Linked DNA regions of Canis lupus familiaris. The protein of the gene in region 1 interacts with the protein of each later gene in a pairwise test. Links are inferred from orthologs where the notes say so. Each region holds a gene or a part of one and is shown in the gene's direction. Other genes may lie near its edges.

Evidence for each region. The genes of interacting proteins can lie anywhere in the genome.
Region 2: the proteins of PITX1 (region 1) and SPAG8 interact in binary tests that used the Homo sapiens proteins (3 or more experiments, as listed by UniProt). The link is inferred for Canis lupus familiaris from reciprocal best matches to the Homo sapiens genes PITX1 and SPAG8.

Annotation. Positions count from the first base shown.
Region 1 is NC_049232.1:23,086,190-23,091,051, reverse strand, and holds the start of PITX1 (pituitary homeobox 1), read left to right. Parts: upstream 1-1,458; 5' UTR 1,459-1,550; coding exon 1,551-1,716; intron 1,717-3,952; coding exon 3,953-4,185; intron 4,186-4,862. UniProt on the Homo sapiens protein: Sequence-specific transcription factor that binds gene promoters and activates their transcription. May play a role in the development of anterior structures, and in particular, the brain and facies and in specifying the identity or structure of hindlimb.
Region 2 is NC_049232.1:52,633,377-52,638,361, reverse strand, and holds SPAG8 (sperm-associated antigen 8), read left to right. Parts: upstream 1-1,512; 5' UTR 1,513-1,632; coding exon 1,633-1,673; intron 1,674-1,775; coding exon 1,776-2,472; intron 2,473-2,597; coding exon 2,598-2,772; intron 2,773-2,970; coding exon 2,971-3,016; intron 3,017-3,100; coding exon 3,101-3,215; intron 3,216-3,329; coding exon 3,330-3,392; intron 3,393-3,496; coding exon 3,497-3,688; 3' UTR 3,689-3,817; downstream 3,818-4,985. Other genes in the region: HINT2 (histidine triad nucleotide-binding protein 2, mitochondrial), read left to right, coding at 10-114, 223-295, 409-500; NPR2 (atrial natriuretic peptide receptor 2), read right to left, coding at 4,183-4,248, 4,379-4,470, 4,739-4,837, 4,909-4,985. UniProt on the Homo sapiens protein: Microtubule inner protein (MIP) part of the dynein-decorated doublet microtubules (DMTs) in cilia axoneme, which is required for motile cilia beating.

The DNA of each region.
Region 1 (4,862 bases):
GGGAGGGGCCGGGCGGTGTCTGCCCCCAGGAGGCCTCGGCGGTGCTGCCGCTCAGCTACTGCTGTGTGAGAGAGAGAAGCTCAAAGGCGGTAGGCTTCCTGGACTGCGGACTCCGGGCTGGGAAACTGCAGGCACCTGGCCTGCTCGCGAGGCCAGGTGCCTGCAGCTCTGGAAAGCCCAGAGGAGGCCCCAGATCGCTACAAACCTGCCCTGAAGGGGGCAGAAGCCAACCCCCTGGCTGCCAAGGCCGGGGCCTGGCTGATTCGGCTGGACTGGTGCAAAACAAGGGAAGAGAGCCCTGCAGAAGAGGCTGTGGGGCCTGGCGGGGCTCTCGGGGTCTCCTGCTGCACTCGCCAGAGGCCTGGAGCCAACAGAAACGTTTCGTCTGATTAGAAGCCATCAGTTCAATCCCAATCCCGGAAAATTGACTGCGGTGCAGAGGGGGAGGCCAGAGAAGCAGCCTTGGACGACAGGGTCCAAGCTAATTAGGAGGCAGCATCCGGGGGCCCATTAGAACGCAGGCTGCTGTCACTCAGCCGGGCTCAGGTCCCGGGAGAAGAGGCCGAGGAAGGAGGGGCCAGCGGCCCCCCGACGGGGACGCCGCCGGGAGCTGCCGGAACGGGCCCCGGGCTCTGCCCCCGCCCTGGCGCTGGCTCGGAGGCGCCCGCTCCGTGCGATCCTGCCCCGGGAACATTCTCTCGTCCTGGGCTGTTCTCGCCGGGGGCTGAGGACTTCGAGGCGGCCCAGACAGGAGTTGATTCTGCGCAAAACAAGTCATCTGGGGCTGGAGGTGGGCACGAGCCGCGCGGGACTTGGAGACCAGATGCGTTTCTTTTGTGCGGCCGAGGGAGAAGTCGGTGTGTCAACGGGGAAGGAGGGAGCGGCGCGGCGCGGCGAGGCCGCGGGGGGTGGGGGGAGGGGGCGGGAGGCGGCGGGAAGGTGGCTGCGGCGGGGGAGGGGGACGGGAGGGGACGGGAGGGGGAGGGGGAGGGCACGGCCGGGGGAGGGCGGGCGGCTCGGGGCCGGATTCCGCCCGCGCTCCCTCGCTCGCCGGCTCCCTCCCTCCCTCCCTCCCTCCTTCCCTCCCTCCCTCCCCCCTCCCCAGCCCCCTCCCACCCGGGCCCACCCCACCCACCACCCCTGGCGCAGGGACTGCTGGAACCTGGCGGTGCGCGCTGTCGCTTTAAGACAGCCTCTGCCGGCGCCGTACGGAGCCTTAGAAACCGGCCCCGGATCGGGAGCCGGAGCCGGGGCCGGGCGGGCGGCAGAGGCCCGAGCGGCGGGAGCGCAGCGCGGAGCGCGAAGCCGGGGATCCGGTCGCGAGAAACCGCTGCCGCCGCCGCCCGCCCGGCCCCGCAGCCCCGGGCGGTCCATGGGGCGGGCGCGGCGTCGCTGCGGGCCCGGGCAGCCCTGGGGGGCAGCCGCTTAGGCGCTGTGCTCTTGTCCCCGCAGGTCGCAGCCAGGGCGGCCGGGCGCGCCCGGCCCCGGCCCCGGCCCCGGCCCCGGCCCCGGCCCCGGCCCCGGGAGCGCCCGCCGCGGTCCCCGCCTCCATGGACGCCTTCAAGGGGGGCATGAGCCTGGAGCGGCTGCCGGAGGGGCTCCGGCCGCCGCCGCCGCCGCACGACATGGGGCCGGCCTTCCACCTGGCCCGCGCCGCCGACCCCCGCGAGCCGCTCGAGAACTCCGCCAGCGAGTCGTCCGACACGGAGCTGCCAGGTAAGCGCGGCTCGGCCCGGCGCGGGGCGGGGAGCGGGGCCTGGCGCCCGCGCCGCACGCTCAGGTTGCCCGAGCCCCGCGAGCTCCGGGACCTCTTCTCCCGGCCTCCGTCGGACCGGGAGCGCGGAAATCTGCGCGCTTGATGAGACGGAATTCCGTGCTCTGCTCCCAGCCGGTGCCCACGCGCCCAGACCCCGGCAGATGCAGGCACCGACCACGGGAGGGTCGGCCCGACAGCCCCTCTTGATCGGGAGCAGACGGAGCCGGAAGAAAAAGAATTCGGTTTGCGCAACGAGTGCCCAGGGGGCCGCTCAGACCGCAGGACAGTAGGTGGAGAGAGGAACGGGGCGGCGGGCGAGAGACGCTGCGCAGGGAGACGGGGTCACACACCCCGACAGGCGGTGGGCACGGATGGAGAGGGAGAAATCCAAGAGAAGGGGTGGCGGGAAAAGTCAGAGAAACAGACTGCGGGGAAGGGGGGACCACCTCAAGTAAAAAAAAAGAGGGCAGCGAGGGCGAGCGGGCCAAGAGGTGCGGCTCAGCTGGCGGGCAGGCCCCCCTCGTGGAGGGACCCGGGAGCCGCCAGGCCGCCCGGCCAGGGCCCGGCTCGGCTGGGGCGCGTCTCCCTCCGCGCCGCCGTTTTGCCCCCCGAACTCAGGCTGCTCCCCCGCAAGCTGGCCGCGAGCGGGGCCGGCGGGTGGGCGGTGCGGGCGGTGGCGCGGCGGATCCTCGGCCGCTCGCGCCCCCGGGTCTCCCGCTCGGATCCCGCGCTCCCCGTCCCGCCGGGCGCCCTGTTCCCCGGGTCGTGGGCGCCTCCGCTGTGCTTTTTTCTTAATCCACCGCTGAGTGTTTCTCTACGCGTTTTTAATCTCTATTTGTTTCTGTTTTGCATCTCTAAGTGACTTTCTCTGAGAGGTTCTGTTTGCTTGGCTAAGAAAAGCAATCCACGCTGGACTGTACTTTTGTTTTCAAAAGTTTGAAGCGTGGCCTTTGGTTGGTTTTTACTTTTTAAAATCTGGAGAAATATACAGCGAGCGATTGCTTTTTAAAACCAACTCCGTGAGGATATATTAAATTTTTTAACTGTGTTTTTCGATATAGAAAGAATCACTACGCGAGGCATATTTCTCTGGAATTTAAAACATCCACATGCAGCATTATTCTTGGAGATTTTTAAAAGTCAATCCAAAATGGCGCGTTTCTCCGGGATTTTTTTTTTCAAAATCCATTTGCAGCAGTGTTAGTTTGGTAATTTATCTAACTATAGTGTTGTATTTCCCTGCGACTTAAAGACTATCCCTAGAAGGGCATTATTAGGAAGGGGCTAAAAAAAAATCTATCTACAACAGTACATTAAGTTGTTTTTTTTTTTATCCCGGAGAAATAAATGCCCGCGTCTGCCTGGAGTTTATACGCGTACAGCACTGTATTTAGTTAGGGGTCTGTTTGCACGGAGGTTTCTTGCTTCTTAATTTGCATTTGCTCTGTGTTCCTACCTGCCTATTTTTAATAGTTTGTGAGCCTTTCCATGGTGTTGGGATAGAATTGAGTTTATCTGGGCTTCTGTATTTTGTTTTTAATTTTTTTGTTTGTTTGTTTCAATGTGTCTATGACTGAATGTGTTTTGTGTACCCTGAGAGAGCGAGAGGCTAGAGCCCCAGGTCACCTAGACAGAGTGTGTGGGTCTGGGCTGCCGCCTGAGGGCTTTTCTGGGCCTCTGGACTTGAGGCCTGGAGCTAAGGCTGAGAACACAGCTGTGTTGTGCCTGCCCAATGTGGCTCCCACACAGCCCTGGGGAGAAGAAAGTAGAGGGGCTGCAGGTTACCGCCTGGCTCCTGCTCCACCGACCCACTGGCTTCAGGCTAGCCAGATTTGATATCAGTTCAGAAGAGCAGAGACACCCCCAGATTTAAATGCCTAAAAGCCCTCAAAATTTCATACATTTGCGGGCGACATAGGCAGTAGGGCTTGAGCCTGAGCCGAGCTGCAAGGGCAGGCCCTGCCCAGTGGGGAACCTAGGCCGGAGCCTCGGGTTCCCTGGCTCTTCGGGGCCGTCCGACCAAAGGTGACTAGTGAGGATCAGGCACCCGACAGGCTCTTTCCAGCGGGAACAAAACTAGGGTTCCTGGCGGGAGGAAGGGCCGCCAGCGCTGATGGCTGGCGCTTCGGTGGAGCCGGGACGGGGTGCGAAAGGGCATAAACCCAAGGTGACTAGGGCCTGTCCTGCCCGATTCAGAGAAGGAGCGCGGCGGGGAAGTCAAGGGGCCGGAGGACAGCGGTGCGGGAGGCGCAGGCTGCGGTGGCGCGGAGGACCCCGCCAAGAAAAAGAAGCAACGGCGGCAACGCACGCACTTCACAAGCCAGCAGTTGCAAGAGCTGGAGGCCACGTTCCAGAGGAACCGCTACCCCGACATGAGCATGCGGGAGGAGATCGCTGTGTGGACCAACCTCACGGAGCCGCGCGTGAGGGTGAGCCCAGCGTGCGCGCCCAAGGGGACCCGTGCGGACCGCTCCTGGCCGGCTCTGCCGCAGCCCTCCAAAAGCTTTAGACCGGCGCTCAGACTTTGTCTCCGTCCCACCACTCTCCACCGGAGAGGAGGATTCAGCTTTAGGCCCGGGTGTTCCGGGTGTTCCGGCGGCTCCTGCTGTGCCCTTTGGTGGTTAGAGCCTTCGGCGGCTGTCGCCTGGCCTATCCTAGTGACCCTCAGGCTCTACTGCAGCCTCACCCCAAGATCTGTGGCCCCATGGGAATTTCCCCTGCCCTGCAGGGCCCAGACCCCATGCGGATGTTAACACCCTAGACTGCACGGAGGATTCCCCGCCAAGGGGGCCCTCGGAGCTGCGGGCCGCCTTCCCCCAAAAACGAAAGGGAAAGGCAGGTCTTGCCTGGCAACCTGGCAGAGGCCTGAAGGGTACCTAGGCTTGCAGGTCTCAGAACCTCCTGGGGCAGTGGTCCCAATCATAGCCTGCTTCTGCAGAAGCTCAGCACAGTCCCCACCTGACTGGTCTCCAGCCAGTCAGCCAGTGAGTAGCTGGACCCTTTCCCTGTTGCCCTTTCCTATAGGGCTGGGGTCAGGTGAAGGAGGAGCAGCTCTGGTGGAAGAGTGACCCTCAGGTCCAGTCCCTTTGGAGATGTAAGATCTCTG
Region 2 (4,985 bases), about 30 Mb from region 1:
TGCTTCCAGTGTCTCGTATTCCGTGATGTGGCCCCTCAGGCTCCTGTGCACTTCCTGGTCATTCCTAAGAAGCCCATTCCTCGGATTAGCCAGGCTGAAGAAGAAGACCAGCAGGTGGGAAGAGCAGGGCCAAGGTTTGGCTTGTGGGGGTGGGGAGCCCTGGACACAGAGGTTTTGCTCCCTGTGAAGGAAGCCACCTGTCTACCTCCCCTTTCCCTGTAGCTTCTAGGACACCTTCTCCTTGTGGCCAAAAAGACAGCAAAGGCTGAAGGCCTAGGAGATGGATACCGACTTGGTGAGTGACTTTTGGCCTTGAGCTATAAATTCTCATACCTGTCCCTCAATGTAATCTTTAATCTTTGACCTTTTCCATGATCCTGACCCTCTAACCTGAAGCTCTTATTTCAGTGATCAACGATGGAAAGATGGGCGCACAGTCTGTGTATCATCTGCATATTCACGTACTTGGGGGCCGACAGCTCCAGTGGCCTCCAGGTTGAACCGACCAACTGACCTCGATCCCCAGAACTTGATGCTTGGAATGTGGGGGGAAAGGGACCCTATGATGCTAATAAACTTGCTCTCCCTTGATTTTGGATCACTGTCTTAAATATATAATAATTATATATAATATGCATGTTATAGATAATTAAATATATAAAGATTTATACCACAAATAGGAAAGAAAACTGATTAAAGATCATGATCTGAGGGCACCTGGGTGGCTCAGTTGGTTAAGTGTCTGGCTTCAGCTCAGATCCTGGGATCAAGCCTCAGCAGGGACCCTGTTTCTCCCCCTCCCTCTGCCTGCCACTCTGCCTACCTGTATGCCCACAGGCTCTCTTTCTGTCAAATAAATCTTTTTTAAAAAATTAAAAAGTTAATGACCCCTCTTGACTATGGTCTGAATGAGAGACATTAATGAGGCCCATCCTATAGTTAAAGAAGCATTTGCCTATAGATCTGTGAGTCTTCATGACTAATGGTCTACCTGGGTCAAGCTAGAAAAGTAACACAAGCAATAAGCCTGTGTGAGTTGAAAGAGACTGAAACCTAGGAGTGAGGCTTGCTCAATCCTGACTCTCATTTAGATGCCAAGCCAAGTTCTAAGGAGGGCCTGGGAGGAGGATGGTTAATGTGTAGGCCCTTTACTGAAGGAGAAGTAATCACACCAAAAAACTGCTACCCTTTGACTGATCCCTGTGTCTCACCATTTTGTTTTTGAGTTGTTTGATGTGTTTTCAGTCTTAAACATTTTAAAAAGAATCCTTCAACTTTTGAGAATGAACTAAGAGGAGGTTACTGTTGCCCCTACACCAGCACACCAAGTATGCTTTTGTCTGATATCACAGCCCTGGCCTTGTGTCCAACACTAAGAACCACCGTAGAAAGTCTCAAAAGAATCATGCTTCAATGTAGAGGTCCCAGGAGAGCGGAACTTTAACAGCTGGGCTGAGGCGGAACAGAGTCTGGACGGAAAGCAAACTTCCAGAAAGCGGCAGGTTGAAGACTTCCGCCCCGCAGAGAATTTGCCTCCACCCCCACCCAGCCCCTTACGCCCAACTCGCGTTCTGCGCAGGCTCCTGGAATTGTTTGTCGTCTCTATGGCAACACGGTGGCTAGTGCCGGGAGATGGAGGTCCTGGAGTCTACCCGGCGGCAATCGCGGTCTCGGTGAGAGCTGCAGCTTTGGCTGCAGGTATAAGGGGGCAAGGAAGGTCAGGGGACTTACCGTGCTGCGCTTTTGACAACTGTGATGCATTCGCTTTCTTTTAGATCTTTAGCCGTACAGCCTGGCGCTGAAGGGCTCGGGTCCACTTCAGAACTGTTGCCTTCAGATGGCAATCCTAGGTCGGCCCTGGCAGCCACAACTGCTGCAGCTACCGCCGCAACCACCGCCAAAACTGCTGCGTTCTCCACGAAGACCCCACAGTGCCGCTCTGAGCCGAGCGTTCTCCGTCCTCCTGGGGAGCCCTGCACTGGAGCCAGCTTTACTCACAAGATAGGCTGGAGGAGACTTGGCTTTGAGCCTGTCTGTGTTTCCCGTTTCAGCCAGGATCCCTGTACTACAAATGACCTTAGCTCTAGTCCCGTCCCTGTTCCTGGCTCCAGTGCTGGTCCTAGCCATGGCTCTGGCCCTGGCTGTGACTCTGGTCAAGGCACTGGTCCTGATTCTGGCCCTGGTTCTGCCACTGACACTGGGCCTAGTCCAGACTGTGGCCATGACCCTGAGCTCAGCCCCTACAGTCTCCCAAGCTTCAGAAACCCTGGGGAAGAGCTGGTCCCTGACTATACCTCCTGGAATCACTACAGCCACCACTGGGAACCTCAGAAACAACCCTGGAAATTTTTGCAAGTTTCAGGACCTGGTGCCCAAGGGCAACAGAAGACCCCCCAGGTTGAAGGGAAGTGTAAGGTTCTCAATGAAACATTGCCACGGGGCCACTGCCTTCTCTACAACTGGGAGGAGGAGGTATTAAGGTTTTGACCTGCTCCCTTTTCCCAAAGACTACCCCCAGTTTCCTGGGGGAGGCAGTAGTTTATGATGAGGGTGGGTACCATAAAGGATATCATGGTCACTCAACTTGGGGCCCACAGAGAGCCACCAACCACCTGGATCAAGTCCCAAGCATGCAAGATGGCTCTGAGAGTTTCTTCTTTCGACATGGACACCAGGGACTGCTGACCATGCAGCTACCGTCACCCATGTCCTTCAGCACCACCCAGAAAGACTCCTACCAGCCCCCACGAAACTACTATCCGCCAATTCGAGGTGTGAAGCATGAGAGAGTGGGCCAGCATGAGCCCATTAGAGAAAAAAAGAGAGGAAGGAATTCCCAGTAGTACTATGGCCAGTCCAATGGGTAGAAGGGTAAAACCCCATGATTTTCCTTCCTTTTCTCACATTTGTTTCCTCTGGGACTGCTGCTTAACCAGATTCCCCCATTCTCTATTCCCTGCCCTCCCACAGGAAAGCGTGAAGCCATGCTAGAGATGCTCCTGCACCATCAGATCTGGTGAGAGGCTGGGTGAAGGGTAAAGGGGAGGGGGAAGACAAAAATCAGGGAAGAATGGCTCTGATGCCCTCCAGGACTGTATAGTAAAGAGGTGCAGGCAGAGCAGGAACCCACAGGGAAGCACCCTGAGGTCGAGTCTGTGACACACCACGACTACCGAAAGGAGCTGGTACAAGCCAGGCCTCCTGCCCCAACCAAGGTGAGAACTTATTCCATACCACTTATACAGCTGGGCTCTAGTGGGCTGTGGGAAAGCAGCAGAGGATATGAAAGGGAGCACAAACCATGAGTTTTTCGGGTTCTCCTTTTACAGCCTCATGACTACCGATGGGAACAGCCTGAAACCTTCTGGATACAGAGGGCACCACAGCTACCGGTGTGTGAGGGTGTTGGGAGTGGGGGAGAAGAAGGAGGGGAAGAGGCTGCTGTGTTCTGGCTTGGCACAGAGCAGGATCTGTCCTCATCCTGGCCCTCCTCCAGGGTGTCAGCAACATCAAGACCCTGGACACGCCATTCCAGAAGAACTGCAGCTTCTCGACACCAGTACCTTTATCGCTGGGGCAGCCTTTGCCCTATGAACCTGAGAATTATTCCCACCAACTGGGAGAAATATCTTCCCGTGCCTGTCAGGGAGGAGGACAACGTGGTGAAATGGGTAGAACTACTATCTAAGGCTTGAGGAGGGAAGAGGGATGTGGAATATAGAGTCTATCTCCGTCTGTACTGGAGAGGTGGGAAAGAAGTAAATTCTGTCTGTACTTGGTAAAGGGGCTTTCCATAAAGGGTCCTCACTCATCCTGAGACTGCCAATTCAGTGATTCCATATGTTACCATGTTCACACTCCAAAATCTTTCCTTGGACTTGCCCCTAACCCAGACTCTGACACCATGACATTTTCTGTTGTTTTATATTTGGCCAAAATATTCTGGTTTAGATACAGATATTTACAGAAGGTAGGGAAGAAGGGAATCAGGCCAGAGTGAGGCAGGTATATGTACAAGGCTGAGCTGCAAAGGGCAACAACTTCCATATAAGGTAGGGTTTTTGTGCATGTTCATTTCCATCCTACACAACAATGTCCATTTCTGGTGTGTGGAGAGACGGTGACCACTGCCCACCCAGGTACCAGCAGCAGGAGACTGTGTGACTTGGGAAGAAGTAGGGTTTACAGGAGTCCAGCAGGTCCTTTCCGCTCTCCTAGGAGCCAGTAAGTTCGCATCTTTCCTTTTCCCTGGAAGTGGGGGAGTGAAGATAATTCAGATTCTTCTATGTTACCCCCTTTATCTCCCTCTTTTCCCCATTGTCCCCATAATTGCTTTCATCCTCCCTTCCCATGACCCCTCCCCATGGCCCGCCATCACCTTCATCTCCACATCCCCCCGAAGCTCTAGCTGGAAGCATCCTAGTTCATCCAGGGCATCCTTGGTGGTGGAGGAGACATGGATCTTCAGGGCTGGGGTGGGATGGGGGCGAGGATGGTGGGAAGATGAATCAAAGAAAAGACAACAGAAGAATTGGTGGTATCGGAGAGAGCTTTACCCAACCACCACCCATCAGAAGGTTCTCAGTCTTTCCAGGACATGCACTAGAACTAAAATATGTCCAAGGATGGGGCAGTCAGGAGCTGTAGTCTCTGAGCCTGAGAGATTTGGAGAAGCTCTGAAAAGAAGAAAAGGACAACACATACAGGCTGAGGCTAGGGTTGAGGGCTAATGTTTTACCTTGACCATTAGACTCCATTCGGGAAGCAGTGTTCACTGTGTCACCAAAAAGACAATAGCGGGGCATCTTCAGGCCAACAACCCCAGCACAAACGGGCCCTAGGAGAAGAAACAGGTTGGGAGAGCCTGAGAAAAGCAGATACAAGGGCTGGAGTGAGAATCAGCCTTACCCGTGTGGACCCCTATGCGTAGCCTCAGCTGGTCATGAGGTCGGTGGCGGATGCGGAAGGAAGAAACGGCATCCAGT